Cricetulus griseus: one gene and its partners. The protein of the gene in region 2 interacts with the protein of the main gene of each other region in a biochemical or structural test. Links are inferred from orthologs where the notes say so. Each region holds a gene or a part of one and is shown on either strand. Other genes may lie near its edges.

Region 1 (11,257 bases), on a different chromosome or scaffold from region 2:
TGCTTGGATGAGGGTGCAGCAGTCCCCACAGCTACCCTGGGTGGTAGGGACTGATGGCTGCTTCTCTTCCCTTTCCCTCTAGAAGTCACACCCAGGAGAGAAGGAGCCAGCCCACACCATTGTGAAGGTCTCTAGCTTTCTCTCTCCCCAGGTCTGAAAGAACAGACCACCCACCCTTCCCCGAGCAAGTTGTTAATACCAAGACAAGAGACAGAGCTGGGAGGTGTTAGTCATGGGCAAGGCGACAGAGAAGGCCTCAGAGCCCAGGTAACACATGAGCAGGAGGGTTGTCGGTACCTAGAGTGAGGCTGTGACTGAAGGGGACTCTTAGCTTCGGGGCTCTTTGCCGCAGATGGCGTTCTATGGTAACGGAATGAAACAGATATGTAAACGAATGATAAAGCCCACCCATGAGTCTCGTCTCTTGGCCCTTCCCAGAACAGCTCACCTGGACAGCAACGAGGACACTGGTTTCTCCACAGAGTTGCTCCGTTCCCAGGGCTTTCGGCCAGCCTCTGCCAATTCATTTCACAAAGGGTCAGAGTGGAGAGGACTCAGTGACACCCCACTCCTAAACACCCCTTGCAGGAGCCTGCCCAGCCTGCGGGAAAGGCTGCTCACAGCAGAGTTGCAACCTGGCTGAGTCTCAGTCTCCTTTAGTCAGGGGACCCTTGGAACTGCAGGCAGCCCTACTGTCACCCCATTTCCCAACCCCAGGGTTCCTGTTCCCTTGAGTCCCCTCCCTGGAGCTTGGTCCAGCTGCTAGGGAAGCAGGGGTGTCAGCTACAAGGAGCAGATGGGACCACTCCCAACACTCCCATTAGTTTTGTCCTTTGGCCAGGCTGCCTGGGATCCCGCTGCACTTTGGTACACTAGTCCCCTCACAATGAGTCTGGAAACCACTTTTCCTTTTCTAAGTCTAGTGGTGCAGGCATCTCATCTGAGACACGGGGTGTTGCAGGTTCAGAGTTTGGAGCATTTGGGGTTTTTGGACTGGGGAAGCTCAACCTTTGTTGCACTAGATTACAGTTCATGCTCCAACAGGGAATATACCAAATTGAGCAGAACAGGCTGGCCAGGGGTTGAGAAAAGGGACGGTGAGGCTGCCCTGCTCTAAGCTGAGCCTTGTCTCCAGACCAACCTCAGGTCTGAGGCAGGTTACCTCAAAGCCACCTGGCAGGTGCACTGGGCTTACAGGACCTGAGACCACAGCTACACCCCAGATGTGTGGCCTCAAACAGAATACTTTACCACAGGCAGCCCAAAACTGCTAAGCATAGGAAATCCCTTAACCCACACTGTAGGACAACAGAGGACAGTAACACTGACCAAAGAATCTGCAACACAGGGAGCAACAGCCCAGGAAGTCCTAGAAGGCTGGCAGACATGCACCCTGGTACAGACAGGAGCTCACAAGGATCCACCTGTCAGGTGGGCAAGCTGACTTCTCTATGGTAAGCCTCTCCTCGCCGCACACATGAGCCCCAGGCTCAGTGCAAGTGACCCCGAGTGCACTCTGAGTTGAAGCCTCAACAAACAGGGTCTGGGTCTTCTTCCCACAGCTGAGCCTCACGATACTCTCCTAATCACATTCCCTCTGCCACAGCTGGCTCAGTGACCAGGGTAGGGCCAGGCTGGGCTTCTGATAGAGTAGGGTCAATTGGTGATCTAACTATAGTATCAGTCTAGTTAGCATTTCACAGCAGACACAAAATATGACATTAAATAGCTCCTTGGCCAGGGGTGTGGCTAAGTGGTAGCTTGGGAGACTAACATGTAGAAGCTCTGAACTGAAAAACAAAACAAAACAAAAAACCAAAAACCCAAAAACCTTACTACTCCACAACCTCCCGGCAGCCCAGCCCCTGTCTAGGCCATACCATGACATCTCCACTGTAGATGGTACTCTCAGTGCCTTCCCTCAGCTGGACCAGGGTCAATGTCCCCTTGTCACACCTGCCCAGCTGGCTGCTTGGTCTCCTTGGGAAGCTCTGAGGCTCAGTAGTCCTGACCCTCTCTGCTCATGCAGAGTGAAGTGGCTAGATTAGCTGACCACTTGCTCTAAGACCTCCAGACTTGTTGGGCCAGGTACCCTCTTACCTGAGGAATTAGGTGGCTGGCTGGTGGCTCGGGTCCCTGGAGATGGGGAGGTACTAGGATCTTCCTAAAACGGGAGAGAAGGGCCCTTTCATTAGTCTGTTAGGAAGGCTGCTTAGGGATGAGGCCGGACATCTTTGCACTAGCTGCTTTCCAAATGTCCTCAAGGGATATGATCAGTAGATAGATGTCTGGCATTAAAGGACAAAACCTTCACACCCCAGCAGGTTCCCTGTCCAGACTGTGAGCAGTGAGGAGGGAGGGGGCTCAGGAAGGGTTACTTCTTGGCCCCCAGCACCCTACCCAGGCCTGATTTACACAGAAAGATCTGCCTAAGAAAAGGCGGGAAAAAGTGAGGCCCATGAAAGGGTTTCAATGGAGCCTCAGCAGTGAAATCCACTCCTCAAGGTGCTGTGAAGCTGGGGAGTACAGGTTGGGGAGTACAGGCTGCCACCTAAGAAAAAACAGGGCTGACTCAAGGGAATGTGGTGCCAGGTCCTAACACATCGATGCAGACACCCTGTGGTTCTTGGCCACATAGGCCTTTGTATTCCCAGCATGTGTGGTTTAAGTCCCCAGGGGTGCAAGACACAGGTCACTTTGGTCCCTGGCAGGTCTGCAAGGCAACCCTGAATGTATGAAGGGCATGGCAGAAGCAGAGAGCTACAAGAATGGGGGTGACCTTCCTAACTTGGGGTCTAAGAGGCCATTTGTAGGGAATAAAGGTCATGCAGAAGTATAGGCTGAGGAGCTAGCTGGTGGCAGAGAGAACTGCACATGCCCAGACCCGGCGGCACCAGCCCACCTCACTGGCTGGCAGGTAGGGAGAGCGAGGCAGGAAGCATACACGGGTCCTAGGTATACAGTTCTCTCTAGTTCTCCTAGGAGGGGCAGCCAGCCTTCATGCTGTGTGTATCTGAGGTGTACACTCAGTAGTCCCAGTAGAATTCTATTTGTTTTAAGAAAGCTTATCATGCACTTAAAGAAAACTGGTGACCATAAACAGAAGTTGAGGCTGGGGGCTGTGCTGCCAGACTGGGCTCCATATGCCTGCCAAAGACAGAGCCCAGGTTTCCAGGATCCTCTGCCAGGGCGGGGATCTCAGCTCCCTGCCAGTAGGCTTGACAGACTCAAGTGGGGTGTTTAGAATTATAAGGAATTTGAAATAAAACCGCCATGACTTCCATAAGCCTCCAGCAGATGCACCCAAATCCTTTGATGTGGCCCTGGTACAGAAGTACAGTGGCCCCCTGGGTTCTTCCAAGCACTCCTGGCGAATGGGGCTTTCCTGCCTACTTCTGCTTTTCCTGCTAAGTGACAGTTCCAAGGGTCTGGTCAAGAGAATGCTCCAGGCTCAAGCCTGGCTGGATCTGCACTATGAAGGGATCCCTGTTTCTCCCTCCCAGCTTCCTCCAAACCAGGTCTTTGCTGGGAGATCTGCTTACAATGGAGGTAAGCCTGAGGGTGTGAGTGGGGTAGGGAGAGTGGTACCTACCATTTGGCTCTCATCTTCCTTTCTGTCAGCGGGCTTGTCTGTCTGGGAGGCTGCTTTTCTCCTAGATGTTGGGGAGGGAAAAAAAAAAATCAGCTTCCCAAGGTTTCACAGTGACCTAGAACTCTGGGCTGCCCCCATGCCACACTTGGTTCCCCAGGAGATTGTGTGTGGACTAGGGTGTCCATTCACGTGAACAGGTTACATGAGCCAAGGCCAGGAGGGTAAGACTTTCTGTGCTCACCCATGACCTAGACTCCAAACTAGTCCAGGCAGGAAGGAAGCCCCTTGGGGTGTTTCTATGTTCAGCTCAGCTGGTGTTGGCCATAGCTTCTGAGGGAGAAAGGAGCTGGCTGTACCTTGTTTAGGTCCCTGAGGACAGGGTTTAGCTGAGAGGCTCTACTCCCAAGACACTCAAGGCCTATGGATAGAATGGTACCCTGGACCACAGTGTGTCACCTTGGGTCAGAGCTGCAGGAGGTCCTGTTACAGCTGTCTGGCTGGGAAACCTTGTCCTCACCATCAAGTCACACACACACACACACACACACTTTCTCTTGCTGCTCTCCTGTCTGGGACCTCAGTTAACCTAGTCACACCCTTCCCCGTTCAGGGTAACACCAAGGGACTAAGGGTGCCCTCTGCTCAACATCCTCATTCTCCTCACAGGTCTCTAACTTTACAGCACTCCACCTGGCTCCTTCACAACAATGTGCTCTGGTGGATTTTCAACTCTGTGAGGTCCCAAAGCATTAGCCTATCATAAACCAGAGGTGAGTGGCCTGTCAGGAGGGAAGCTGGCCTAGTGTATGGTGAGGAGCTGCCTCTGGCTGCAGTGGCAGGGCTCACACAGCTGTCTCATCTCAAAAGGACTCTTCCCACAACCCAGGGGTATGGAGTCTCATTAATTCTCTCTCTAGATCTTCCCAGTGGGACCTGTTCTCACTGCCGAAAGCTCTATGCCAGTTACCATCACCTGGAGTACACTGGTCTTCACGGGTCTACTCAGTCACTTTACCCCATTCCGAGCACTGATGCTCAGAAGCCCATGTTTCATCTCTTAAAAACAGAGGGTAGCCTGGCCTGAGAGTGTGCCTCATTGGTAATACATTTGCCTAGCGTGTGTGAGGCCATGAGTTCCATCCCAACACTGTAAAAAGTGACAACTGGAGACCAAGCCACTCTGCGCTACACTGCTAAGATTTATAGGCAAACGCCTGTGGCAGGACTGGCTACAACATAGCAGCCCTAAGTGCTCACATCCCCTGTTCTCCTGCTAGAGGAAAAGCTGGAGACAAAAGCTGCAGGACCCTCAGAGTCTCACTGAGGTGGATCCCAGAGTTGCTTGGTTGATCTTCAAATGTGCACAGCACATTTGCTTTTTGTAGGGCCTGGACCCACCTCCACCCCCCACCCCAGCACCTGGCGTCCTCATGGCTCCTGGCAACTCTGACCTTTTCCTGTTTTTAGTTTCCTGGTGTAGTTTGGGCTACACCATCTAGGCCAAGTTGTTAAGCTCACTGGGAAGGTGTAAACATTTTTTCTGCTCTTATCTGAAGCCCTTTCGTCTCTGGGTGCTCTGAGGTGCAATCCATCTGGCAATGAGGTACTTTTTCAGCCTGAGCTCTAGCCGGCCTCTACCAGTCCAGTTCTGCACGCATGCTTCAAAACCTTGCCTGGCACCTCTGCTATCCCCCAGCCCAGAGAACCAAACTCCTCTAAGCTGAGTACAGGTGGAGCCCCCTCTGTGAGGCCCACTCTCTCCCTCATGCAGACCCTGACTTACTGCTATGTGAAGGCTGCTTACATGTCTGGCTCCTGTCTGGACAATTGATGACTGTGTAACCCTTCTAAGAGACCTGGGAAGGCCAGTGCCACAGACCACCTCACGGCCCTCTGTACTAGTCTTCAATGCAGATGCTGCTGTGTGCATGTAGGCGGCCAGGTTCTGTCCCACTATGAGGCAACAGCCTGGCTACCCGTCTGCATTTCTGGACCTGTCTCCTCTCTTCATGCTCACAGAGCCTCCCTCTTGGATTTAATGAGATTGCATTAGGACAACAATGAATTAGGCATACAGCATTCTCTCAGGTTGGTCAGCCTGGAAGGTGGAGGGGGATGAGAAAGCAAACCAAGGGCCAGGACTCTCACAACTGTCCCCTCACCCGGGACAGGTCCATCTACCTGGTCATGGAGGACGCCTTTTGTTCACTGTCTCCCTGATGACAGGTGAGGGCACAGTGAGAAGTGTTTTGCTGATGTGTGAAGGGTGCCTGGCCTGCCCACCCTGCCAGGAATCCTTACCTGCTGTACCACTGGAGCCCCAGGGAGCAGGCCTCTGCTGTGGCTTTGTCTGTGCTGAGCTTTTCTCAGGCGCAGAGTGCTCTGACACCAGGTCTACTCCTGTACCCTCTGGTTCTTCAGATCAGCCATAGCCTTAGTGACCAGAGTCAGCATTCCTGGTGCTGGCCACACTTAGAACCATACCCGAGGTGCTGACCAGAAAACAGGCCCAGAGCTAACCTTGACACAGGGGCCTACCTTCTCCCGTCTCTGGGCTCAAGTCATCTTGTCAATCCATTTCCTGTGATGAAGCTACTGGACACTTTCCCCCACATTCTCTAGAGAGCGCTCTAACCCTGGGAGTGTGCCTTATGCTGGTTGGGCTTGTGAATGCCCCCTGGATGTTTCTTAGCAATGACCTTCAGGTGAGGACGGCAGCTTCCCAAGAGGCACGCGGACTGTGGAAGGCATGGGACCCACCTCTTGGCCAGCAGTTTGTTCATCTCTTCCATGAGGCCTCCTCCACCTCCCCCGCTGCTTGCCCGGTTGGCATCGGACTTTGAAGTCCCACTAGGACTGGAGCCTGCAGAAGCATCTTCTGGCTGAGGGTGAGGAAGCGTGTGTCACACTCTGGTACAGTGGGTGCAGGGGGAAGAAAGACCTTAGGAGTGAGGCTGCTCGTCTAACACTCCCAGCTCCACAGGTCAGAAAACACGCATCTAGAGAGGACTAGGGCATTGACATGGTAGGCTCAGAGGCTTGAGTCCTTGCCAAAGTCAGCTGGTCACAGGAGAGGAGGGAAGCAAATTTCAAGCCAGAGATATGCATCAGAGGCACCCTCTTACGACCGACTGACTGCATGCTGCTCATTCCAGAGCAAATGCACCTGGGTGGGGAGCAGACTGGCTCAGTGGGAAGCAGGTCCATGGGAAAAGCAAAGGCGGCTTCAGGACTTATTGATTAAGGCAGCTTGTAGCTGACAAGGAGCTGTCCCCCTCTTACTTGTTTACTAACTGGCAAAGGGCAGGCTGGCCTGGCTTGAAATCTGGTTCTGTGGTACTCCTGAGAGCCACATCAGTGAGAGTGTCTCCCTGATGACAGGTGAGGGCAGGGTGACAGGTGCTTTGTGAAGGGTACCTGGCCTGCCCACCCTCTTACCCGCTGTACCCTCCTCAGCTTGGCTCCAGCCAGGGCAGCAGCCAGTCCTGAAGCAGAGCTCTCATCGTGGTTGGCCCCCTGGGCTCCTCCAGCTGGCAGAGGGGGCGGGGGCGGGGGCGTAGCCCCTGTGGGTGGAGGTGGAACTGGGGGTGGAGGTGGGGGTGGAGGTCCACTACATGAGAGGGTGGCGCTGGCTGCCACTGAAGGATGCCCAGGTGGGAGGAGGGGCCCTGAAATGCAATGGGGGAGGAGTCAGTGTCCGGCACCTAGCTGGTGTCCAGTCTACTGCTGTTATTTCGGGTCCCTGGAGAAGAATGAAGGGCAGCTTGCTCATCAGAGAGATGAGGAACAGAACAGTTTGCATCTCTCAGGAAGGCCCTGCAGAACTTGGCCCTGTTCACTCTCTATTCTAGTCTTTTCAGCCTGGCCCAACACTGCTTGAGCGCAGCATACTTCCTCTTGTTCCATTCATGCTTTTCCAGTGGGAAGGGAAATTCTTGGCAATGCCCTTTTTCCACTCTAAGTACTTGGCTCCATCTTTGGCATTGATTGAAGTAACTGCATATAACCCTTGGTCCCTGGGTCCCAGAGCCGACTGGGACTTTGGTTAAGAAACCATGAATGCTGAGCGCTGGCATTCACTGTGCACCTTAGCCAGGCACCCTCTACTGAAAGCTGCCTGAGCTTTCACTGTGTGTCAGGTACTGCGCCATGTGTGGAAGAAAACAGCTCAGGCTGTGAGAACAAATCAGAGGTGAACAGACAGGAGCTAAAAGGCAAGCTCTACCGAGAACAGGCACACAGGAAGTCTGACGTTCTTGGGACTAGACAGGAAAGGAGGTGTTCAGTTAAGTGAAGGGAAACAGGCGTAAGCAAAGAGAATGGGCTGCCTGGGAGAAAAGAAAGGAGAAGCTGGTGCTAGAGCAGATGTGGGAAGGGAGAGTGTAGGGTAGGCTGCACCTCAGAGCTGTGTCCCAGGGTGATGGGAGGGGCTGACTTGCTCACAGACTGTGTGCAGGGGCCCGGGCAGCACAGAGGAGTTGCTGTGGTACCAGGTGAGAGGGCAGTATCACCCCAGTGCAGGCTGCTTTCCCATGAGCAAGACAGAACTTGAAAAGGCACTGAGCAAGTTAGGTAAGATGAGGCTACAATTATAGCGCAAGGCAAATAAGAAAGTCCTGCCCCATTAATGCACCTGACACCCCTTCCCGAGGTGTGACAGGCCTGACTTGGCACCCAGGAACCCTCCTCTCCAGGCTCAGCCCCCGACCCTGACTGTCTCCAGCAACCGTGGCACAGTGTGTACTCCACGTTAGGACAACCATGACTTCCTGGGGGCAGGAACTGTTGTCTGCCTTGTTGATAGCATGTCCCTAGCTCTCAGTGCCCTGACACAGGGGTTCCCCTACATGTCTACTGGAGGAATTGAACAACGGGAGGGCCCGGAGGCTCCCTAATCCTATGCTCCATTCCACTCCATCTGAAGTGAGGAGCACACTTTGAACCTAGGTGGTCAGAAGTCGGAAGAGTTCTGTCCGAGTTGGGGCCACTTGGGACAGGGTGGGTGGAAGGTGACCCTCACTCACCTGTGGCAGAGACTCTTCTCTCCAGAGACTCTTGGCGGTGTTGTTGCTGCTCCATTACTTGTCTGAAAAGCAACCAGAGCAGACAGATACCCTGACCTGTCTGTGCCTGAAAGCCCAGGCTTGAAATCTGCTTCTGTGGCATCCTTGAGAGCCACAGCACTGGCTGTGTGTGTGTGTGTGTGTGTGTGTGTGTGTGTGTGTGTGTGTGTGTGTGTGTGTGTCTGTTTGCACATGCACACGTGTGGTATGTGTGTGTGTTTGCATGTGCACACGTGTGTGGAGACAAAAGGATCACCCTGAATGTTGTTCCCTGGTATCATCCACTCTCTTCTAGTCTCTCTCTCTCTCCTTCCTTTTTTTTTTTTGAGGTAGGGTCTCTGGACTGAAACTTGCCAAGTAGGCAAGGTTGGCTGGCTAGTGAACTCCAGGGTTTGCCTGTCTCTGCCTCCAAAACTCTGGGATTAGAGTGGGTAATGCCATATCTAACTTTTTGTTTAAAAAAAAAAAAAAAAGAGCACTGGGGCTTTAATTAGTGCTTGGCAAATACTTTACTGACTGAGCTATCTCCCCACCTCCCAAGGCTGCCTCCTAGAAAGAGAGGGATGTGTTGGGTTCAAGTACCGAGATGGAAGAGGACTGGCAAGCCAGGACACCCTGAGCAGGAAGTGTCTCGAAGAAGCTCGTGTGACTCTCTGGCTCATTTGATTGACTCACCTGGCTGTTTGGGGCCTATGGCTTCAATATGTGGCCTCAGAAGAAATGGCCAGAAGATCACAGGCCTCGAGGGCCACCTGGCACCACAGGGTTTCTAGACATGCTTCAGAAGGAGTTTAGGGAAGTATGGGTTTGCATGGCAAGGACATGTATCCTTAATTTGCATTGAGCTCACAGATCTCTGGCATGCAGTAGGTGTTTCTTTTGGCCCGACAGTGCTGGCCTGACTGTGTCTCGACTAGCTGAAGGGTGCTTTCAGGCAGGCAGCTGTGAGTCATGGGGTTACCTTCTCTGGATGTCCATCTCCTCAGGAGAGGGGCCATTCTGCACCTGACGCTGTGTGGAGGGGCCTGTAGGGAAGAGACGCAGAGTGGAGTGGTCAGTAGAGGGAAGAAAGGCCCAACAAATAGCTGTAACGGCGCGCTCTCCACCCTCCTGGCCTCCGTCTCTCCCTCACCCTTCCTCTCTTCATTTCCTGGGGCTCCTCCCTCTGGAGCATAGTTGGGACCCCGAGTGCTAACGGTTAACATCTACCCACTTTTCTTTCACAGCACTGCTGTGTCTGCTCCTTCAGTTGCCAGTGTCTCCTGAGCCCACCATCAGCACGTTAAGAATCATCAGCTCTGATGGGTCTTTGGTGAGTGGCAGGGCTGGACTGAACCTAGGGACTACACAGGTGACGTGGCCCTCCTTTGTACCTGCTGCTCACATGGGGAGTCTGCAGCCATGAGCAGCAGAGTCAGGTCCTGCTACTGCTCCCTTTGTTCTGGGCCACCATGAAACACTCTGGCCACACCCACTTTGTACCCAAAAGGGTAGGATCCCTCTGCCGAGCCTCATGGTCACAGGAGGGCTGGTGCATGCTTTGTGCCACATTTAAAGAGAAATCCAGGCTGCAGCTCCAAAAGAAAGAGCTGGCTGTTTCCCGCCGGCCAGGTGTCCCTTGGGAAGTACACAGTCAGCAGCTGGCAGAGGAGATGTGCAAGCAGCTTTGTTCCCCCTGCTGGGAGAAGCTCAGACAGCAGGGAGACTCTTCAGCCTCCTACTCCCTGAAGCCCAGGGTCTTCGTCCTAATCCTCTTAGGTGCAGAAAATGTACTGTACTGTAGGAACGTCATCAGAGCAATGCCCAGACACTTTCTTTGCTTAATCTATATTACAATTGCAATTCTCACACAGCTAGGAGGTGTCCAGGAGGACTTGGGACCACTAAGGAAACCAGGCCCAGGAAGGATAGATGACTTGCTCAAAGGTCATGCATGACTCAGAGCAGGACAAAACCCTTGCCAAGTGTCTCATTCTTCCTCAGGCTCAGTCTCACCATGAGGTCAGACTGAGACTGGATTGAAGGATGAGATGCTGGACTCACAGGCTCCCTGAAGAGACACAAGCTTCCCTGTCCCTAGACACTGCTCTCAGGTTTCACCTGTGTCTGCTCAGTAGGAGGGGCTCCTTGACCCCTGCCTCACTCATTCTGTCAAAGGCAGGTTTCACAACACCTTAGCCCTACATTTTGGGGCTCTGCTGTCAGCCTGGCTAAGGCTGTGGTAGTTTAAATGGAAACTGTCCTCCATAGCCCTGGCTATTTGAACACCTGGTCACCAGTTAGTGGTGCTGTTTGGGGGAGATTCAGGAAGTTTGCCACTGGGGGCAGGCTTTGGGAGGGCGCTCACAGCCTTGTGCTACTTTGTGATCTCTGCTCCCTGCTACCGCCACTCCTCCCCACCACAGCCACTCCTCCCCACCACAACCGACTCTACCCCTCTGGGACTGGAAGCCAAAATAAGTAAGCTGCTTCTGGTTATGGTGTTTTCTCCCAGCAGCAGACAAGTAATTAATGCACAGGCCTTAAGTTCTAGCTTGAACCACCGAGCTCACCCCTGAGTTCAGACTTTGTCCTTCCTCCTTCTGCATGCTGCGTTCATATC
Region 2 (11,357 bases):
GTCTAGCTATTGGCCATGCAGCATTTTATTAAACCAATAACAGTGGCACATCTTCACAGTGTACAAAAAATTTTTTCCGCAACATATACACTTGCAGGAAAAACACTCATACACATAAAATAAAACAGATAAAATTTAAAAATGAAAGAAGTCTAGAGCACAGCTCAATAGCAGAGTATGTACTTAAAGCCTACATGAAATCCTGGGTTCAATTCCCAGCCCAGAGACAAAAGTCAAATCAAAACAATATGCAGCTCATATTCTTATATTTTGGGTTGTGAGCCTAAGCTTTAACAGTTGAGCCATCTCGCCAGCCCATAGTTCATATTCTTACCATGGAGGAATAACAACATTAATATTTTAGTGCATCTATTCTAGTGCACATTCTATACATGCATACAAAATACACATATTTTAATGGGGCCCTACCCCCACTCCTGGATTTATATACTGTTAATGGCTAATGGGGGAAAGAAATGTTTTCTTTAGTGGTGTAGCTACTGTGAGCAAATGCTCACCATGGCACTGTATAATGAAACTCACTGCATCACGTCAACCCCCAAGGCCACGGAAGTAGTTGTTCAGGGGAAAGAAGGGGATCAAGAGTAGGAAGGAGACAATTGAGGATGATAGGGTATGATGAAAATATATGTGTGATGAAAATATATGCGTGATGAAAATGTAATAATATGCATTAATATAGGCTAAGGAAAGCATTAGAAGAGATATGAATGTATATTGTTAACGTGATTTTTTTGTTGTTGTGATTGGACCCAAGGCTTTCAGCACACCAAGCTATCACTCTGTCACTGAGCTACATTCCCAACTCTCACCTGCCTTCTTATATAAACATGTTATCAATATCATTACCTCTCTCTCTTTTTTTCTTTAGAAGTACTAATAATTAACCCAGGGCCTAGCACATGCCAGGCAAGTACTTTCCCCTGAGCTATATACCCAGTCTCTTTGTACTTTGAGGCAGGGTCTCACTAAATTAAGTTGTCCAAATTGGCCTTGATGAATTCACTATGTCAGAGACTGGCCTCCAACTTCCTGTCATAGACCCCACAGTAGTTTGAACTGCAGGCTTGCACCTAATGATGTGACGTCAATATTCTTCTAAATTGTTTTAGTGGCTACATACATAATAAACATATTCTGGGGTCTGGAAAAATGTCTCAATGGTTAAGAGCACTTGTGCTACCAGAAGACCAAGGTTTGATTCCCAGGACCCACATGTTTGCTCACAAACATCTGTAACTCCAGTTCCAGGGGATCTAACACACTCTTTTAGCCTCTGAAGGCATGTATGTGGGGCACAGACAAGCATGCAAGCAAAACACCCATACACATAAAACAAAATAATTTTAAAGAGGAAAAATCTTTATGAGGAGAGATCATATTCAAAATAGTAAGGTGCATACCAATCACTTCTACTGGGAATGTTAAACAGTATTTTTGGCAGCATTTGTATCAAATTCCACAATATTGCATTCCTACAGGAAATCTGAATTTAAGATAAAAACTCCCAACAGCCAGGCAGTGTTGGCATTGCCTTTAATCTCAGCACTTGGGAGACAGAGGCAAGAGGATCACTGTGAGTTTGAGGTCAGTCAGGGCTGTTACTCAGAGAAACCCTGTCTTGAAAAACAAAAATTGCCAACAGTCACTTCTAGAAAGATGACAAGAGAATGGAAGAGGCAAATGGTGGGATAACTAAGCCTCAATGTGTCTGACAGCTGGCCTAGACAGATAGTAAGAGCATGTGCAGTAGATATTTCCTGACAGCTGCCAGAGGGCCTGGACAACAGCAGCAGAGTCTAACCAGAGAAAATGTAGACCTATGGACAGTGACTACATCCTCAGCAGATGCCAGCTCAGTGGATCCACCCCCTGGGGCAGAGTGGGAGGCATATAAAGTGAGCTTTATTGTTCACTTTGTTGTTTCAACTTGTTCCTGTGTTGTTGGTGTCTACTTGCCCCACCACCAAGGACCCTGAAACAGCAAACAACCATTCACTATATACTGTTTTGCAGTAATTATTCTCACTAATGCATCTGTCCTCCCCCACCATCACATAGCTATACTTACCAGAATTTTGTCTGCTTTGGCTTCACTAATTCCCTTAATATTTATGAGTTCCTTCTTTGGTGCATAAGCAACAGCCTCCACCGTATGGAAACCAGCTTCTTCTAATTTCTTCACATCATTGGCACTTATGCCACATTGCTGTAAGAAAACAATGGGTAACTTAGGCCTCTTGTCTAAAACGGATATTACAACTTAGGTATTTGAAGACCACTAATACACAAAAAGCCTCTAAAAACTTGTCTACATATGAATTATTAAATAACAAGCTATACACTTTTTCATCATCAAAACTAAGTTTTAGGCTAGGGAGATAGTGTCTGCTATTACCCTGAGGAGGTTGAGACACTTGGGTCCCTAAGACTCACTAGTCAGGCAGCCTAGCCTAACCAGTAAACTCCAGGCCAAAAAGTGTGTATCTTAAATAAATAAATAAATAAATAAATAGATAGATAGATGGCTCCTGAGGAAAAAATACTGCGGTTGACCTCTGGCTCCCATGTACTATCCCAGGCACATGTGTTACAGGCTCACAACTGCCTATAACTCCAGTTCCAGGAGGATCTGATGCCCACTTCTGACCTCTGAGGGTACTAGGCACATAGATGATGCACACATTCATGAAAGCTAGACACATATACATAAAATAATAAAACTAATCTAAAAAAATAAAACAACACAAACAAAAGCAGCTATGCTGGTACATGCCTAACACTTGGGAAGTGCAATCAGGAGGATCAGGAATCAAGGTTATCCTGAGCTACATGGAGAATTCAAGGCCATGCTAGGTTGCATGAGACCCTGTCTCAAAACTAAAATAAATAGAGGCTGTGATAAACACCATGACCAAAAGCAACTTGGGATAAAGTGTTTATTTCAGCTTACAACGTATAATCTGTCCTGAGGGAAGACAGGACAGGAATCAAAGTGGACTAAATATTTTCTCTGAACTTGTCAAATGCAAATGGACTATACATTGTTGATGAACCTATTGCCTATATATTGTACTTTCTATAAATAGTTTTTCTTATGTCAGTTGTAGCCTTCTTTTTGTATTAGACAAAAAAAGGGGAACTGTAAAGATATATTATTAATGATTTATTTTTTAAAGATTTTGTATTTATTTCCATCTCTCCAGCCCTCTATTTATGATTTATTAAAGCTTGCCTGAGGATTCAGAAAGCAAAGTCAGGCATAGAAGCCAGTCCTTAAGAGAAACAGTTCATGCCTTTGATCCCAGCACCTGGGATCACACAACTTTAATCCGAGAATTGGCGAAGTATGTAAGACAGGAGCAAGGTCAGTATCAGGCATTCATTCTCCAGCCACGTTGAGAACAGGAATACCCCAGCCCTCTGGAAGCTTGGCTGCTTTGCTTCCCTGATCTTCAGCTTAAACCCCAATATCTGTCTCTGGGTCCTTTATTAATTCATGTTACATCAAAATACAGACCTTGGAATGCTTACTGGCTTGTTCCTAGTGGCTTCCTCAGTATGCTTTTGTATACAACCCAGGACCATCTGCCCAGGGGTGACACCACCCAATGTTCTTCCACACTAATCATTAAGAAAATGCCCCACAGGAGCAGGGTGTTGGTGGTGCACACCTTTAATCCCAGCACTGGGAAGGCAGAGGCAGACGGATCTCCGTGAGTTCGAGGCCAGCCTGGTCTCCAGAGCAAGTGCCAGGATAGGCTCCAAAGCTATACAGAGAAACCCTGTCTTGAAAAAACAAAAAAAAGAAAAAGAAAATGCCCCACAGAATTGGGACTGGCATTTTCTCAGTTGAGGTTTCCTCTTCCCAAATGACTCTAGGTTGTGTCAAGTTGGGGATGGGGTCTGTAGAGGTAGCTCAATGGTTAAAAGCATTTGTTGCTTTGGCAGGGGACTCAAGTTTAGTAACCAGAAAACACATGGCAGCTCACACTACCTGGTAACGCCAGTTCCAGAGGATCCCATGCCCTCTTCTGATTTCCACAAACACTAGTCATTCATGTGGTAGATATACATACATACAGGCAAAACACTCATATATAATGTCTTAGGGTTATTATATATGTCCAAAGTAACTTGGAGAGGAAAGGGTTTATTTGATTCACACTTCCACAACACTGTTCATCACTGACAAAAGTCAGGACAGAAGTTCAAACAGAGACAGAGACCTGGAGGAAGGAACTGCTGCAGCCCTACAAGCTGCCTGCACCTTGATTTTCTGGAGGCATTTCCTCAATCAAGGTTCTCTTCTCTCAGATGATTATAGCTGTGTCAAATTGACATAAAGCTAGCCAGCACACACATTAAATGAAAATAAATAAATCTCCAGCCAGAGAAGGATTCTAGCAGAGGAGGCAGAGGCAGGTGGATCTGTATGAGTTTGAGACCAGCCCGCTCTACATAGTGAGTTCCAGGCCAGCCAAGGCCACATAGTAAGATCCTGTCTCAAAAAAACAAAATGAATCTTAGGAGGAAGAGGCAGGGGCATCTCTGTGAGTTCAAGACCAGCCAGGTGTATATAGTAAGTTCCAGGTAGAGACTCTGTTTCAAAAGAAAAATAATAAAGGAGCAGGACAAAAAAAAAAAAAAAAATATGAATCAAATAATCATGAGATAATACAACCTGTTAGAAATGACAATTTTATATATTTACAATGAAGAGCTAGGAACTAAAGTTATTTAGCTAGCACCATTTCCTTCAATAAACCTTCATTTCAATATACTAAACTTGGATTGTGCAGCACTAGTCCCAGTGTCTTTAAAAGTCCTATAAAATTACTTGGTGGAAAATTTATTTCATCTTCCTATTAAAAAATTAATAAATCAATCTTAAACAAAACATTATAGAAGCTGGAGAGATGGCTCAATAGTTAAGAGTGCTTGTTGCTCTTGTAGAAAACTGGAATGCAGTTCCCAGCATCCCTGTTTGGTGGCTCACAACCCCCTCTAACTCAAGTTCCAATAGATTTGACACCCCCTTCTGTCCTCCTTGGGTATGAGCACCTAGATGGGCTTACCTGAATATACACAAATAATCTTTTTTTTTTTTTAAAAAAAAGATTTTATTTATTATGCATACAACATTCTGCTTCCACGTATATCTGCACACCAGTAGAGGGCACCAGATCTCATAATAGATGGTTGTGAGCCACCATGTGGTTGCTGGGAATTGATCTCAGGACCTCTGGAAGAGCAGTGCTCTTAACCACTGAGCCATCTCTCCAGCCCCAAATATACACAAATAATCTTTAAAAAGAAATGACCATGAACTCTGAAGGGTGATCACACCCCATTTAAGTAAAGGTGGAACGAGAGAAGCAGTGCCACAAAGTTAGAGAGGGTCTCATGCAGCTCAAACCTGATAGGAGCAAAGAACTGTGGACTCCTGATTCTTTCTGTTCCACCATGGAAGCAAGTGCCACCAAGCTCAGCTCATTTAAGTAGTTCCAAAGTCTTAAAAGTTTGGGCAGATTGGAAAAGTATATAAACTGAGACAGAAGAAATACTGCACAGATTTAGTACGTTTTGCTTTTGTTTGTGTGTGTGTTGTATGTGCATGTGCTCATGTGTGCTTGAGTGTACATGCAGAGGCCAGAGGGCAATGTTGAGTGTCTGCCTCAGGCAGTTTAACATCACTACACCTGATTCTCAGACTGGCCAGACTGGCTGGCCAAAAAGCCCCAAGGATCCCCCTGTCTCCACTTCCTCAATGCTAGCATTACAGGCATATGTCATTCTGCCTGGCTTTTATGGGTGATTGAGATCCAAACTCAGGTCTTCATTGTTTGCATGACATGGACTTTATACACAGAGCATCTCCCCAAGTCTCTGGTTTTTCTGCTGCCTTTTTTGTGGCTTGTTTGTTTTTGAGACAGGTCTCACTAAACAACAACTTGCTATGTAGACCAGGGTGGCCTCCAACAGAGATTTTCCTGCCTCAGCCTTCCAAATGCTAGAATTATGACTGTGAGCCACCACACCCAGCTAATGCTTCATATTCTCAATGTTGACATAGAGCTGGATCTTATATCTTAACAACCTACACCCTTCAACCTGACTTACAACAGCCTTCTCAGTAGTATCTTCCACCTGAGCCAATGGAGAGAAGCTGTTCCTCTTTCCTACATGCATTCCTGGGTTACACCACTAATTCCCTAATCAGCATTTTTATATTTAGTGTAAGCAGCAGTATGATTCCATGGGATCCCAGACCCTTGTTTCTAAAGTTCAGCTTTTAGGGAGAAAATAGAGTAGGAAGAGAATTGTCAAAAGAGACTTGACCAGACAAGACATATATAACAATCCTGTGCTTTTTCATAGAAACTGACAACCTCCTGAAATTTCTGTAACGGTTAACTTGTTCCATTACATACAAGAATGTATTACAGCATTGTAAGTAAATAAATACTTAGCAACTAAGAACATACCTCTAACCGTGAAATAGGTTGTGGACCAAAGCTTTCTTCTTCCACTGAAGTATCTGCATTTGCTTCAAGCTGCATCTGCATAGCCATTACTAAAAAATACAGATAGGCATCAGTATGAATGAACACTAGGGGAATACTCTTGGGTAAAAAGTTAGTTTTCCAACAAACACTATCCACAGGTAAAGAGCAACTGCTACTCTTAAAGAGGATCCAGGTTCAGGTCTCAGCAACCGTATGGAAATTCATAAACTGTCTATAGCTCCAGTTCCAGGCACTGGACATGAACGTTATGCTTACAGACATAGAGGCAACATATTCATACACATAAAAATAAGCTTTAAAAAGTCAGGTGTGTCTAACAACTGTGGGCTGCATGCAGCCAAGGATAGCTGATTCAAACTGATTTTTTTTAAAGATATATTTTTACAAAGCAGCAAGTTCTAAGCCTTCCCATACTACATAGTGAGTAAAATTTCAAATCAGAGTATTTTCTTTTTTACTATTAATTTTATTTATTTTTATGTACACTGGCATTTTATCTACATGTATGTCTGTGTGAAGGTGTCTGATGCCCAAGAACTGGAGTTAATATTATGAACTGGGAATTGAACTGGGTCCTTTGGAAAAGCAGCCAGTATTCTTAGAAACTGAGCCATCTCCCCAGCCCAGAATAGTTTTATGTTCTTAGGATGATACACAAAGCAACAACACTCTAGTAGGAAAACACAGGCTAGCAATATGGCAAGTGGTACAGTTCTTGTATAGAATAGAACAAGGCACTGAGTTGAATCCTCAGCACCACAAAGCAAATGAAAAAAACTGACTATATTTTATTTTCAGCACAATTCCATCCTGAAGATGGAATTCAGGTCCCTGAGCAGGTTAAATAACTACGAAAAAGATCTTTAAGCTTTTAACCCTGTATAAAACCAGATATGGTGGGCATGCCTGTAATCCCAGCATTTAGGAGGTAGGCAGGGAGATTAGAAATTCAATGTCATCCTGTTATATAGCAAATTTGAGGTTAGCCTGGATTACCTAAAACCCTGTCTCGATAAATAAATAAAAATAAAACTTCTAGCCGGGCGTTGGTGGCGCACGCCTTTAGTCCCAGCACTCGGGAGGCAGAGGCAGGCGGATCTCTGTTGAGTTTGAGGCCAGCCTGGTCTCCAGAGCTAGTGCCAGGATAGGCTCCAAAGCTACACAGAGGAAACCCTATCTCGAAAAACCAAAAAAATAAAAAATAAAATAAAATCGTAATCGTAACAGTAGAAAAAAATATTTGCCACATACATAATCAGAGGTGGATAATCAAAATACAAACATAAAGAACTACTTCAAATAAGAAAAAAAAGGACAACAGAAATCAGATAATCAAAGAAGGTATCTTTACAGCAAAAAAATATAAACAAACATGCAATCTCATCAGTAACCAAGAAAATTAGAACCACAAGTTCAAGGACAGGCTGGGCTACACAATAAGAAACCTCTACATCCACTCCAAAGTTTGTAAGATATTACTAAATACCCATCATAAAACAGCAAGTGTTGGCAAGCATAAGGAACAATTACACATTCACTACTACTGGTATATTTACATGAAATTTAAAAACAGGCAAAGATGCACTAGGGAAGCAGAATCAGGAAATAGAGTTCAAGGTCAGCCTGGGCTAAGATTCTAAATCAAAATAAATAAACAAATAAATAAACAAACAAACAAACAAACAAAAACAATGCTGGAGAGATGGCTCAGTGGTTAAGAGCACTGGCAGCTCTTTCAGAGGTCCTGAGTTCAATTCCCAGCAACCACATAGTGGCTCACAGCCATCTATAATGGGATCTGATGCCTTTTTCTGGCATAAAGGCACACATGCAGACAGAGCACCATACACATAAATAAATCTTGAAAAACAAGAAAGTTCAGTTAAAGTGAGGGAGGAGGGATAATATGAACAAGGCTGGTCAAGCGCATGACGGGGAAAATCTCAGAGACAGGTGAGGAGAGCTAGTGGGAGTTCGTGGACTATGAACTGACAGCTGGGGGACCTCTGAATGTGGGTGACAGCTATGTGGCTTGACCCATATGGGGTTCCGGGGAGTTGTGGGACCGAGACCAGTTCCAAGTGCATGAACTGGATTTTTGGAGCCCATTCCTAGGATGGGATACCTTGCTCAACCCTGATACAGGGGGAGGGGCTTGGTCCTGAGTGGACTTGGTATGCCAAACTTTGTTGACTCTCCAAGGAAGGCCTTCCAGACTCTGAGGAGTGGATTGGAGGTGGGAAGGGGGATGGGGGACAGGAGAAGGGGAGGGAGGGGTACTAGGGTTGGTATGTAAAATGAAAAAAAAAATTAATTAAAGAAAAAAAGTATTTAAAAGTAAGTAAATAAAACCAAAACAAGGCTAGCATGATGACACTCTCCTGTAGTCCCAGAACCCAGCAGGCAGAAACCATAGGATACAGTGTTCCAGACCGGTTTCTGGGTTACAAAGTCAGACCCTGCCTAATAAGGTTTTGTAAAAATAGGTCAAATTAGTGAACAGTATTAGAAATCACTCTTTAGCCATTAGGGTGAGGGGGAAATATTAGACAAGGAATGAATGATAACAGAGGTTTTTAAAATGACAACATTTGATTTCTTTTACGTCCTGATTACACAGATATACTCATTTTGTAATAATTCATGCATGCACTCATTTGTGGATTTTGTATTTTTATATTTCACTTTACTACTGCTATTTTTTGAAAGTTCTTTTTATATTTACATTTTGTACATGAGTTTTTTGCCTGCCTATATATGTATGTATATCACAAGTGTGCCTGGTGACTGCGGAGGTCAGAATAAAGAACCGGATCCTCGGGAACTGGAGTTATGGGTGGTTTCAGGTGGGTGTTGGGAACTGAATTCAGGTCCTTTGCAAAAGCAACAAGTGCTCTTAACGCCGAACCATCTCTCCAGCCCCCCTATTTCACTTTTTTCCTGAAACATGCTCTTCCATATGTAGTTCAGGTTGGCCTTGAAAGTGCCATCCTCCTGCCTCTCCTCTCAAGTGCTAGGACTATAGTACAGGTGTGAATCATCTAGCTAGGATTCTCTTTAGAAATATGTGTTGCACTTTTTAGTCTTTACTCTGCTGTTTACACAGTCTTTGAACTCCTACCTCAGCCTCCAGAAATCACTGGCACCAACCACTATGTTCAAATTAAAAACAAACAAACAAACAAACAACCCTAATATTTAACAGCTGTGGGCACTTATCTCAGGCTCTCGGCTTCTTGCGTCGGGGCCACGGAAATGAACGTGAAAGTCTGTAATTCCAACATTTGGGAAACTAAGGCAGGAATTTTCCAGCAGAGCCTGGCCTAGGGCGTGAGCCAGGTCTCAAAACAAAAGCCTGAAGTAGGATTCGGTTTTCTCCACGTCGAGCTCAGTAAATCGGTTAGCGTCGGTCGGTTGGCCCCAGGCTCGGCCGTCCTCGCGTTTCTCAGCGAAGAGGGAACCCGAAGCCCTGGCCTCCAGCTGAAGAACCCGAGCGGCGGAGGGAGTGGCGGCCCGCGCTCGCCCTCGCGCTCGCACTCACCGGTCCGCAGCCGCCGTGGGCCGCGCGCTCCTTTGGCGGCCGGGTCTGCTCACGCCACAAGAACCACCGTCACCGGCTCCTCTGTCCGGTCTTCTGTGAAGAACAGGAGCAAATTTTAGCCTTCCCAGCTGCGTTTCCGGAAAACACGGCTTTGAACAGGAACCCGTCTGCACGCACTTCGCCCAGGGACGCGCGACTTTCAGAAATCCCGCCAAACGCTCACAGACGGCTACGCCCGCATCACTGCAACGTCATCGCGCCTTTCTCGGCCCCGCCTGTAGCCACTTCCGCTGGGAGCCTGACGGACTTGCCCGACGACTTGGAAGCTGGGTGATTCCGTAGGTCATATTTACCTTTATGACTGTTCTCAGCTGACCTTTCTAGCTAGCTGACTGAAGACTACAAGTCCCCAAAGGCAATGTGATCGGCCCAGGACTACATCACCCAGCATGCACCGCTGCGCGCGCTGCTCTGTAAAGTTCTTGCGCACCCGGGTGTTGGCATTAAGTCGGAAAATGTCTTTGAGGTGTGTGTTTTTGTCGAAATGCCTACCTTTGGCAGTTGGGGTGCTTTTCGGAACCAGATGTTGTACAGGGCCCCGTGAACGAAGATTTGAAGAATTGGAATAAAGGAATAAAACAGCCAGCCACTAGCAAATGAGTGTGGGACGCAGGAGTTGTGCAAAAAGTACTTTTAGGTGGGCTATTGATGGGACCGGTGGATATCATCTATAAATACATTGCACTTATAAAACGACCAAAACACTCTTTCCCGCTGTTCTCTGAAGAGGCAGACAGGTCTTTCTCTCTTTCTCCCTTCTCTTTGCTCACTCCTTTCCCTTCCCCTCAATAAAAAAACTAAAAGAAAAATAACTCATTCTGTAGTTTTTTTTGTTTTTGTTGTGTTTATTGGAACTCCAGGAAAGAAGGCTCAGAATTGAAAAGTAAACGTTTGTCTAGAACTTTGACTTGTAACTTCAACTTTTTGTTTTTGCTTGTTACTTATCTGTGTTTTTTGTTTTGTTTTGTTGAGACAGGGTTTCTCTGTGGCTTTGGAAGCTGTCCTGGAACTAGCGCTTGTAGACCAGGTTGGTCTCGAACTCACAGAGATCCACCTGCCTCTGCCTCCCGAGTGCTGGAATTAAAGGCCGGCGCCACCAATGCCCTTTTTTTTTTTTTTTTTTTTTGAGGTTTATTTATGTATTTTGAGACAGGATCTCACATACCCGAGCCTGGCCTCAAACTCTTTGTAGGGGAGAATGACCT
Region 3 (10,420 bases), on a different chromosome or scaffold from region 2:
TTTGTGTGCATGTGTCAATAGCCAAATTACAATTGAATATGTGCCCAGAAAGGTTTGTTTGCTACAAAAGAATATAACATGCATGATCGTAAGAGGAGTTAAAAATATATACAGTACTCAGTTAAATAAAGCCACGTATGAAATACTGTGAAAAAAGAAAAAGAAAACCAAACAAAAACAAACAAACCAAATTGTGCCGGCATGGTGGCACATACCTTTAATCTCAGCGCTCTGGAAGCAGAGACAGCTTTGTGATCATTTTAGAATAAAGTAACCTGAGTCTCTTCATAAATAGGGCCCTGGGTTCAATGAGAGCATATCCCCCACCCCAAATGTGTCGTAAGATAAATTGCTCTGTTAGCTTACAGATGACATCATTACTTATGAAGAAACTGATATGATTTATGACTCAGGAAACTTGGCTTGTTTTAGTTTGTAATTTGGGAGATGCTGTGAGCCACCTACAAATAAAGAGAAAAATAATAGGGAGGGAGGGGGACAGTGAACCAGAGTAAAGTATTGATAGGAGATGTCAGGGTTGGAAAGGCCCAGAAACTCTGAGGAGGCATGGTATGCTTCAGAAGTGGTAACTGTGACCTGGAAAGGTTTACTTCACAGTTATCTGGGCATTTTTCTTCCCATTAAAACAGTAAACATGAACCAGTATTTACTCACATTTGAACAGAGTAAAGAATTTAGCTCAAGTGATGAAAATGAAGAAATGAATCTATGCAAAGGCTTGCTGACTCTGTACCCTACTGGTTACGACCCTCTCCAGTTCTCTGAGAATGAGTCTGGGAAACTACAAGTGTTGGTAAAGCTCCTGGCAGCAATTCACGAACTTCGTCCCACCGAAAAGTAAGCCCTGTACCCAGCCCCCCATGTTCTTGTTACCGTACCCTGCCTCTACTTTCCCTAGTGTCAGTATACTTGGTTTACTTTCTCTAAAGAATACATTTCTGCAAGTACCCTAGTCACATGGAGGTGGGACCTGGGGTTCTGGGTACCGATACTCTAAACTCCTTCCTTCTGAGGAGCCTTGGCAAGGTTTTAAGGTATTTGGACTAGGGAGTTGGCTCCCTGGTTAAGAGTACATAGTGCTCTTCCAGAGAACCTGAGTTGACTAACAACTACTGCTCCCAACTCTACTTGCTGTTGCTGTTCCTTCTGTTATATCAGTGTTGCTATTTTCCTTTAACTAAAAAACAAAAGAACAAAATACTGTCTTAGAATGTTATGTAACAAACTTTTGTTTTTGGTTGACAGAGTGGTTTTGGTCTCCAACTATAGACAAACCTTGAATATTTTAGAAGGCATATGCAAGCGCCATGGATATGCTTGTGCCAGACTTGATGGCCAGACACCAGTCTCTCAAAGGCAGCAAATAGTGGATAATTTCAATAGCAAATACTCGACTGATTTTATTTTTTTATTAAGTTCAAAAGCTGGTGGTGTGGGACTTAATCTTATTGGAGGATCTCACCTAATTCTCTATGATATTGACTGGAATCCAGCTACTGACATCCAGGTAGGAATATTTATGCATTAAGTCCATATTATGTATGCCTAGGAGATCAAATATGATGATGTGTAATTAGTCGTTGGGTATTGGGCTCTTGTTTTGTATCAGACACACTTTAATCATCACAGCATCTCCACATGTGGATGTAAGTAGCCCATGTTTTCTATATGTGAGGAAATGGAAGTTTGTTCTTCCAACATAAGAAATGAAAACCAAGCTTCATGTCACACTGTACAGCTAGGCTTGGAGGAGTTCCTGACCACTGGGGATAACGGTAATCTGTATGGATGCTATGAATGATTTGTGTATACTGCAGTGAGTCCACAGCATTAACTTCTTTAGGAAACTGTGGAGAAGCCCAAGATTTTTTCAGTATACAGTCCACTTTCATGTATTTTGAGGGTTTTGACATACAGATTTTTACTATAGTTGGTATTTCATTATGGGGTCCTAAGACAACAATTAAGTTTTATGATTTTCTAGGCTTCAGAGAATTGAGGAAAGCAGCCATATTCACAGTTATTATTTTATAAGGATACATAGCGCAGAGTCCAGGAGGGACCAGGCACAAACTCAATGTGTCCATTCCCTCAGAGCTGTCTGGACAGCACTTAATTCATCACTGATGAGTGATGGCACAGCTGGAGCATTACCAGCAAGGTTTGCTCTTCAGGGTTTTGTAGGGAGTTGGTTCTGTAGACACAAAGTGCCTCTATGACTGCCTGATGGATTTATTCAGTCTTGATTCCTTCCCTCCAGAGGTCAGTCAGATTCATACCATATGAAGCCGAGTGTATTCAATACGAGGAAAGTTGAAGGATGGTTGTAGAAATAAAAACTGCACTGAGTACAAGCTTAAGTTTCAGTAGGAGACAAAGGAGTTGAGGAAAGGGAATAACCCTGATTTCAGAATACAGGATACAGGATGCTTGTGGACAGACAGAAAACAGGCATTTTATTGGTTCTTTAAGTGGCCTCTGGTTTGTTGCTCATGGGAGTGGTACTCTTTGAAATCTTTATCTTACAAGTTAAGGTATTTTCTTTTGTAAGCTTTAGATCAATAGGTAGTTTGTGTGAAAATTGATGGCTGGGCATGCTGGCATTGTCCTGTACCTAGTGGGGTTTTCCCCTTTTGATAAGGTAACTAAGTGACAGCCACATGCATACATTGTTAAAGAGAAACTCAATATCAGATTTCATGGATTAAGGGCATGAAAGCCTAGCATCTCTTGTCCCTATGTGTGTTGCTATTACTCTTCAGTTAGAAGCATTTTGGGGAGGAGTGTGCAAGGTTTAAGCATTAATGCTTTACTGCACAGTATCATAGTTAATACTTAAGCTAGAGGGAACCTAAAGTGATTGCAGATGCCTTATGGAATTTTAAAGAGTGAATTATTAGCTGCTTGGACCCTCCATACCCAGGCTGTACTTAGTTCTTTGCATCATGGTTGTCATGTTTTATCAAGATACCCATCTCACTGTTTCATGGACTCCTGCAGCTACTTCACATGCCTGCACGAGTGCTCGTTCAGCCTCCCTCTGAGCCCAGGGCAAAGATGTAAAGAGGGCAAGTGTATGCCATTGGTATGTGTGTGCAGCTGGAGGACAGCTTGCAGGAGCTCTTCTCTCTTACAGTGTGGTTCTAGGCTTCAAACTGGGACTGTTAAGCTGGTGCTTTTACCTGTGGAGCATCTTGCTGGCACCCTGCTTTGTTTTTTGAGTTATTAGTGAACTCCAGAATTCTCTATAGTAAAATATATTCCTGCAAATTGCTTTTGTGCAAGGGCCATCAGTTTCTACTATACTCAGAATTCTTATTTTGTCTAGGCTATGTCTAGAGTTTGGAGAGATGGTCAGAAACACCCTGTGCATATTTACAGACTCCTGACTACAGGTAAAAAACCTTCATGTGACAAAAATGTATCTCCTTAAAAATTTCCTTTTGTTAGTTTGTGCTTCAATATCTGGAATATACTCTTTTATCAGACAATAAGTAGCAAATGTGTTTTACCCAACACAAATAATAGACACAAGAAGGGAATCTAATGTGTGTTTTCTCCCTAGGTACCATAGAGGAGAAGATCTACCAAAGGCAGATCAGTAAGCAAGGCCTTTCCGGGGCAGTTGTAGACCTCACCAAGTCATCTGAACATATCCAGTTTTCAGTGGAGGAGCTTAAAGACTTGTTCACGTTGCACGAAAATTCACAGTGTGTGACCCATGACCTGCTCGACTGTGAGTGCACAGGAGGAAAAGGTCACACTGGTGAGTAGTTTGTTGATTCCACTACCACAGTACTTTGAAAACATTTAAAAGGTGACTTACAAGGAGCTGCCATTTGCATGTATTAGTTTTCTTGGTCCCTTGAGTTGTGGGGCAGTTACTAGGTGTACGCTTGAGAAAATGTTCAATAGAATTTTACTCTCTGTTTAGTTTCTTATTTCTGAATCTGTTGTGAAAAAAAATTAACTTGTTTAGGCAAATCTCTCAGTGCCTGGTAGAGTGGCTTCAGAGTAAGAAAGATGTTTTAAATTTTATTGCAATTTCATAAAAATCCCATACTTAGTAGAATTACCTATTGTTTGTTTAACCCATGTAAGATTTGTGTATAAATGGCGCCAGACTTTAGGAGGTGCTTAGAAGAAGCAACTGTACTTCTCAGTGCTTGAACTACATGTGATGTTCAGTAAGCCTGAAAGCATGTCTCTCTACACTTAGACACTGTTCACAGGACAACTAGAAGAGAATCGGGAAGTGAGGAAGCAATGTCCAGGGATGGGGAGTCACTTGCTAATTTATACTGTTAGGGGCTGGAGAGATGACTCAGCAGTTAAGAGTGCTCTATGCACAGTCATGAGGTTTGGATCCTGGCACCATGTAACAGACTATCATCTGGCCTTTGTGCAAATGTACACAAGTGTACCCCCCACTCAAGGGCACATATACTCACCTCACACCCATGTGCACATAAATAATAAAGAAAATCTTTAAAAGATTAAAAAATATTGTGATGTTTAAGAAGTTACTCTTTTTTAAACTTCTTCCCTCCCTCCCTCCCTCCTTCCCTCCCTCTCTCTCTCTCTCTCTCTCTCTCTCTCTCTCTCTTCATTTCTTCCTTCCTTTCTTTCTTTTTGGCTTTTTGAGACAGAGTTTCTCCGTGTAGGCCTGGCTGTCCTGGAATTCCCTCTGTAGACCAGGTTGCCCTTAACTCACACAGATTTGGTGCCTCTGCCTTCTAAGTACTGGGATTGAAGGCCTGCACCAGCACCTTCTAGCTTTTTTTAACCTCTTACAATTGGAGGTATGTGTGATGTAAATACAGTACTTATATATGAAATTCTCAGAAACAAATATATGTCCATACATATCAAACTCAGAGATTCGCATGCCTCTGCCTCCCGAGTGCTGGGATTAAAGGCGTGCACCACCATTGCCCGGCATGACTTAGTGATTTTCAAACTTATTTTCTAAAATGGTTTTTAACCCTTTAAATTTTCTTCTATATCAAGCCCCATAAATTTAATATGTAATCTTCTCATTATTAAGTTTTAAATATTTCCTGTTTCCTATTGTTATTTCTTCTTTACTCATAATTTAAGAATATTCTTTCAGTTCTAAACACATGTACAATAATACTAAATGGACTCAGCAGTTGAGTGTGAGTGTGTGTGTGTGTGTGTCTGTGTGTGTATACATGGGTGTGTATGTGTGTGTGTGTGTGTGTGAGATAATAATTATAGAAGAAGCCACTCCCATTCAAAGGGAATGAGTGGGATGTGAGAGAAGTTGGAGGTGTATAAATGATGTAAACACAATAAATTCGCTGTAAGTTCCTAGAAATAGCAATATGCTGGGCAAGGGTGGGTCCCTTTGCTCCTCAGCTGTGTTATCTTCCATTGTATGGATAGATCATAGTTTCTTTACCTGCCACACTACAAATGTGTAATTAGTTATATACTTTTACTTACATACTGTTTTCATACAGTCAAGTACATATCTGTTAGATAACTTGTTAGTGCTACTACGTGTGGTTCACAACTGTCTAACTCCAGCTTCAGGGGGTGTGATTCCTCTGGCCTCCTTGGGCATCTGCACTTATATGCACATACCCACATCCAGATACAAAACATGCAATTGAAAAAGAATAAAAAAAGATCTTTAAAGAAACCTACTTGATGAGTTCATCAGTAGTCTCTATGGCCCATTCATAGGAAGCCATTTTGCAGTCTGTTAGCAGGCTTGCTGCTGCAGAAGATCAATGTTTTTGATTTATGGAGTTCAAACCCCCATGCTTGCTTTTGCAAACCTGTCAGGCCTTACAGAATTGGTTTATTTATTGGTGCTGGAGATACATCCAAAGACCGTATACACACAAAACCAGGGCTCACACAGTGACTCCATCTTTGGCTCTATCCCATAGGGCTTAGATAATGGATTGTGGACTGGTAAACCTTTCTTTGTGAAATTATTTGTTTGGTCGTGTGTGTCAGGGGCTGGGTACTTATTGAGTGGGCAGTAATTGCCCATCAATATTTGTAAAAAGGATGAATGACTGAGTGAGTGTCTTATCTAAACTGTGTGGTCAGAAATGACATATCGCATGACTCACGAAGAGGTCTCCTGCTTTTACTCATTTCAGATGATGTGTTGGACACCCCTGCCACCTCTAGACAGTGTCAGCTCGGCCCTCAGCACCAGAAGTCTAGCTCCCTGAGACCTCTGTCCATGTCACAGCTGAAGCAGTGGAAGCATTTTTCTGGCGACCATTTAAATCTTACAGACCCATTTCTGGAAAGAATAAGGGAAAATGTGTCATTTTTTTTCCAGAATATAACCAACCAAGCTCCTTCCATCTAGTGAAGGACTACTTTCTAACATCCCTTTGCCCCCCTTAAAAATTAATAAAGGAATTAAATGTAATTTTGAAAGTTAGAAAATTATTTGAATTATAATAGTGAACTTTGTTTCACAATATGCCAATTTAAATACAATAAAAACTGAGTGGTTTGCTTTCTTGTGTGTATCCTTCAGTGTTGAAAATGAAACGTTCATGTGTGAGTCTGTGACTGATACTCTTCACCCAGTGCTAGAAGTTCCATTTGCATTTCCCTGGTGGTTAAGGCTGTCACACATTGTCCACCATGTTTTCTGGCTGTTTCTTTTTTTGAGAACTGTTTGTGTAGTTCAATTAGCCCATTTACTGATGGGATGGTTAGGGATTTTTTGCTGTTTAATTTTTGTGGTTCTTTATGTATCCTGGATCTGAATCTCCTGATGAGAAGCTGACAAAGACTTCCCTTCCTACAGGCTGTCTCTTCACTCTGGCATGGTTTTCTTTGCTGAGTATACGGGCTTTGCCTTTGTTGTTGCTTTTAGAAATGGAGACTAAAGAAGGGAAAGCATGCCAGGAATGGGAGTGGGTGGTAGAGCTGGGACATTGTTTCCTGTGAAGAAAAGCCCTGCCTATGCCCATGTCTTGAAGGGTCTGTTTTCCTCTAGCAGTTTACCAAATTTCAGGTCTTGATTTTAAGTAGATTTTTGTGCAGAGAGAGATGAATCCAGTGTCATTCTACATATGGAAACCCAGTTCCTGTAGCACCATCGTGTAACATGAATAATAAAAACCCAGAGGCAGATATTAGGGTTCAAGATGAAGATCAGAGAAGCAAAGCAGCCAGCCAGTAGAGAGTTCTCACCTCCATCAATGCTCAGACCAAAGGGGCGATCCACCTAACCTCAGAATCCTAGACTGCCATGCTCTCCTCAGTGTGGCTGGAGACGAATTGCCTAAGACTGACTTTGCTTCTTCCTTATATACTCTCTAGTTCTGGGATTAAAGGTGTGAGCTCTGTTATTCTTTTAGACTGATTCACTCTTATGTAGCCTTGGGTGGCCTTGAACTCTGAGAGATTCATCTGCCTCTGTCTCCTGAGTTTTGGGATTAAAGGTGTGTGCCACCATTGCCCAGCTTCTATAGCTAATTAGAGTGGCTAGCTTTGCATTCTGGTTTTTTGACTTTGTTTTGTTTTGTTCTTTTGAAACAGGGTTTCTCTGTGTAGCCCTGGCTGTTGTAGAACTCACTAGGCTGGCCTTGAACTCACAGAGATCCATCTGCCCCTGCATCTGAGTGCTGGAGTTAAAGGTGTGCACCATTACTGCCTGGCTTAGCTTTGCATTTTGATCCTTCAGGCAAGCTTTATTAAATCATAAATAATATATTACCGTACTGTAGGGAGACACCATAACCACGCCTCCTAAGGGCTGGCTACAGGTGTGCCCGACCACGCCCATCAAGGTGTGGTCAAGGTGTTGTCAGGGTGACATGTGAGAAATTTAAAGGCATAGGGAACGCACATGGTAGCTCTCTTTTTCCCTGCTGCTTTGGCTTGCTCTGCTTTCCTGCCGGTTGGCTACCTAATTAATTGTGATACCACACCATTGTTAAAAAGTCCATCTTTTCTCTGCAGTGTGGTTTTGATAGCTTTACCAAAAATTGGATAGCTGTAGCTACAGGTTTGTTTCTGGGTCTGATCTTCTGTCTGGCCTATGCCATGGTTTTGTTGTTGTTTCTACTGTGGTTGTGTATATGCTTTGAGATCATATGTTGTGGTAACGATCACTTCAGCTGTTGGGCCCTTTGTGCTTCTAGATTTACTTAGGATCCTTTTTCCTAGTTCTGTGAAGCATTATCATTGGACTTTAATGAGATTTTATTTAGTCTGCAGATTGCTTTTGGTAATATAAACATTTTTACAATACTAATTCTACTAAAACATGATGCTGTATTTCCATCTTCTAGTATGTTCTTCAATATATTCTTAAAGTGCCTTGAAGTTTTCATTCTAAAAATTAATCCCGGGTAGTTTTTTTTGTTTTTGTTTTTGTTTTTCAGCTCTTGTAAATGGGACCCCCCCTTGATTTCTCCCTTGATGAGTTTATTATTGATCTAAAAAATGCTACTGGTTTTTCTGTAATTTTTTTGGTAGTGTCTCAGGTCCATGCTGGTCTTGAACTTGCAATGTAGCTGAGGATGACTTTGAACCTCTGATCCTCCTTCCTCCATCTCCCAAGTATTAGAATTACAGGAGTAAGCTACCAATCCCAGTTTATATTGTGCTAGGGATTGAACCCAGGGCTTGGCACATGCTAGGAAAGCAGGCTACCAACTGTGTTGCAGTCCCCAGCCTCTGCAAGCTGATTTTATGTCTTGTCAGTGTGTTAAAAGTGTTTATCTGATGCAAGAGTTTCCTTTTTAGAATAGCATGTTAGGAGCTAAGAACTATTAGGAGGTATGGCCTTATTTGAGTGGGTGTGGCTTTGTTGGAGGAAGTGTGTCACTGTAGAGATAGGCTTTGAGGTCTCATATATGCTCAAGCTTCGCCCAGTGTGGGACACAATAGCTTCTGCTGCCTGCAGATCCAGATGTGGAATTCTCAGCTCTTTCTCCAGCACCATGTCTGCCTGCACATCACCATGCTTTTCATTATCACAACCTCTGAACTGTAAGCCAACCCCAATTAAATGTTTTCCTTTATAAGAGTTGCCGTGGTCATGGTGTTTCTTCATAGCAATAGAAACCCTAACTAAGACAAAGACTTTGGACCTTGCTAGGCCAGGGATCTGTGGGGTTCAGACTCACTTCTCCCAGATGTTGAGGCCCCTGTTAATATCTGGGTTATATATATATATATATATATCTGTTTTCCCAGTCATCGACTCAGCTTTGTAGCACTTAACACATTCTCTCTTAACTGCTGACTTGCTTTGTTCTACTCTTATTAAGCTGAGTTCCTTGAAGACAGGCTTTCATTTTGTCACATTCATTCAATCTCTGGGCCATCTGCCGCCCAAAGCACACAACAGCTCCTTAGAGCTCAAATGACTGATGAACTTAACCCCCTTCTCATCTTCAATGGTCTGTTGGGTTCTTTGCTCAAAGAACCGTGTTCCACACTGTTAAAAAGACCAAAAGAGGAACTGTGAGGTGTTCTAGAGGTCTAGGCATTGTTGCACAAATCTGGGACCCACATGTAGGTGGAAGAAAAGACCTAACTCCCCATGCATGCCCACATGTCGCACAAGGTTAAGGTTTGCCTTGAGTCTCAGAAGAGACTGGGCTTTTGAAGTGTCGGGGCTAAAAGCCCAAGGGGACTTTTGAAGTTGGGCTAAATGCATTTTGCATTGTGATGTGGTCATGACCCTTATGGGTCCCTGGGGGTGGAATGCAGTGGTTTGAATGAGAAATGTCCCCCACAGGTGCTTGAAGACTTGGCCCCCAGTTAGTGGCACTGTTTGGGGAGGATGAGGAGGCAGACCAACCCAGGACTTTCTTAGAGGCCCAGATGAAAGCACAAAGGGAACTTTACTTTTGTGTCTTTGTCCAGGAGTAGACTTGGCCAGGCCCGTCTATGGCTGGAGCCAGTGACTTGGAGGAGCCAAGTTTGCAGTTTCTGGGGACCCGATTCTTCCCCCTGGGCTGTGGTTATCAGTTGAGCAGCTGTGTCTGAGATTCCTGTGTTTTCTTTGGTAACATTGTCTGATTTAGCTCACTGCAGACCTTGGCCATTGTCCTCCTGTAGGATGCTATTAGATGCTGTACTTCCTAACAAGCTTGCCTGGCATAAGTCAGCAGCTTATGCAAGACCTTCTGGTCCCAGCCATTGCTTTCGTTTTATTTCTCATCCCTGGTCCTCCCACTTGACACCTAGCCACCTTGCTCTTTGGGAGCCTTACTCCTGCGGGTTTGGGTCAAGGGAGGTTATGGAACTTTTGGAGTTAGAGCCTTGCTGGAGGAGGTATATCTCTGGGGCTCTGAGAATTTATAGTTTGCTTTCTGCTGTGTTTGTGGTTGAAGATGTGATCTCAGCTTCCTGCCATCATACTAGCCAGCTACCACTA

What was found.
Region 1: the proteins of Rad51 (region 2) and Evl form a complex in vitro, tested with the Homo sapiens proteins (2 studies listed by BioGRID and IntAct). The link is inferred for Cricetulus griseus from reciprocal best matches to the Homo sapiens genes RAD51 and EVL.
Region 3: the proteins of Rad51 (region 2) and Rad54b form a complex in vitro, tested with the Homo sapiens proteins (2 studies listed by BioGRID). The link is inferred for Cricetulus griseus from reciprocal best matches to the Homo sapiens genes RAD51 and RAD54B.

Annotation. Positions count from the first base shown.
Region 1 is NC_048598.1:186,089,680-186,100,936, forward strand, and holds part of Evl (ena/VASP-like protein), read right to left. Parts: intron 9,681-11,257; coding exon 9,617-9,680; intron 8,679-9,616; coding exon 8,617-8,678; intron 7,261-8,616; coding exon 7,031-7,260; intron 6,475-7,030; coding exon 6,353-6,474; intron 3,654-6,352; coding exon 3,593-3,653; intron 2,165-3,592; coding exon 2,101-2,164; intron 516-2,100; coding exon 449-515; intron 361-448; coding exon 298-360; intron 1-297. UniProt on the Homo sapiens protein: Ena/VASP proteins are actin-associated proteins involved in a range of processes dependent on cytoskeleton remodeling and cell polarity such as axon guidance and lamellipodial and filopodial dynamics in migrating cells.
Region 2 is NC_048599.1:59,371,594-59,382,950, forward strand, and holds the start of Rad51 (DNA repair protein RAD51 homolog 1), read right to left. Parts: upstream 6,597-11,357; coding exon 6,510-6,596; intron 2,231-6,509; coding exon 2,093-2,230; intron 1-2,092.
Region 3 is NC_048595.1:125,735,776-125,746,195, forward strand, and holds the end of Rad54b (DNA repair and recombination protein RAD54B), read left to right. Parts: intron 1-685; coding exon 686-858; intron 859-1,266; coding exon 1,267-1,528; intron 1,529-3,349; coding exon 3,350-3,416; intron 3,417-3,586; coding exon 3,587-3,787; intron 3,788-6,161; coding exon 6,162-6,379; 3' UTR 6,380-6,552; downstream 6,553-10,420. UniProt on the Homo sapiens protein: Involved in DNA repair and mitotic recombination. May play an active role in recombination processes in concert with other members of the RAD52 epistasis group.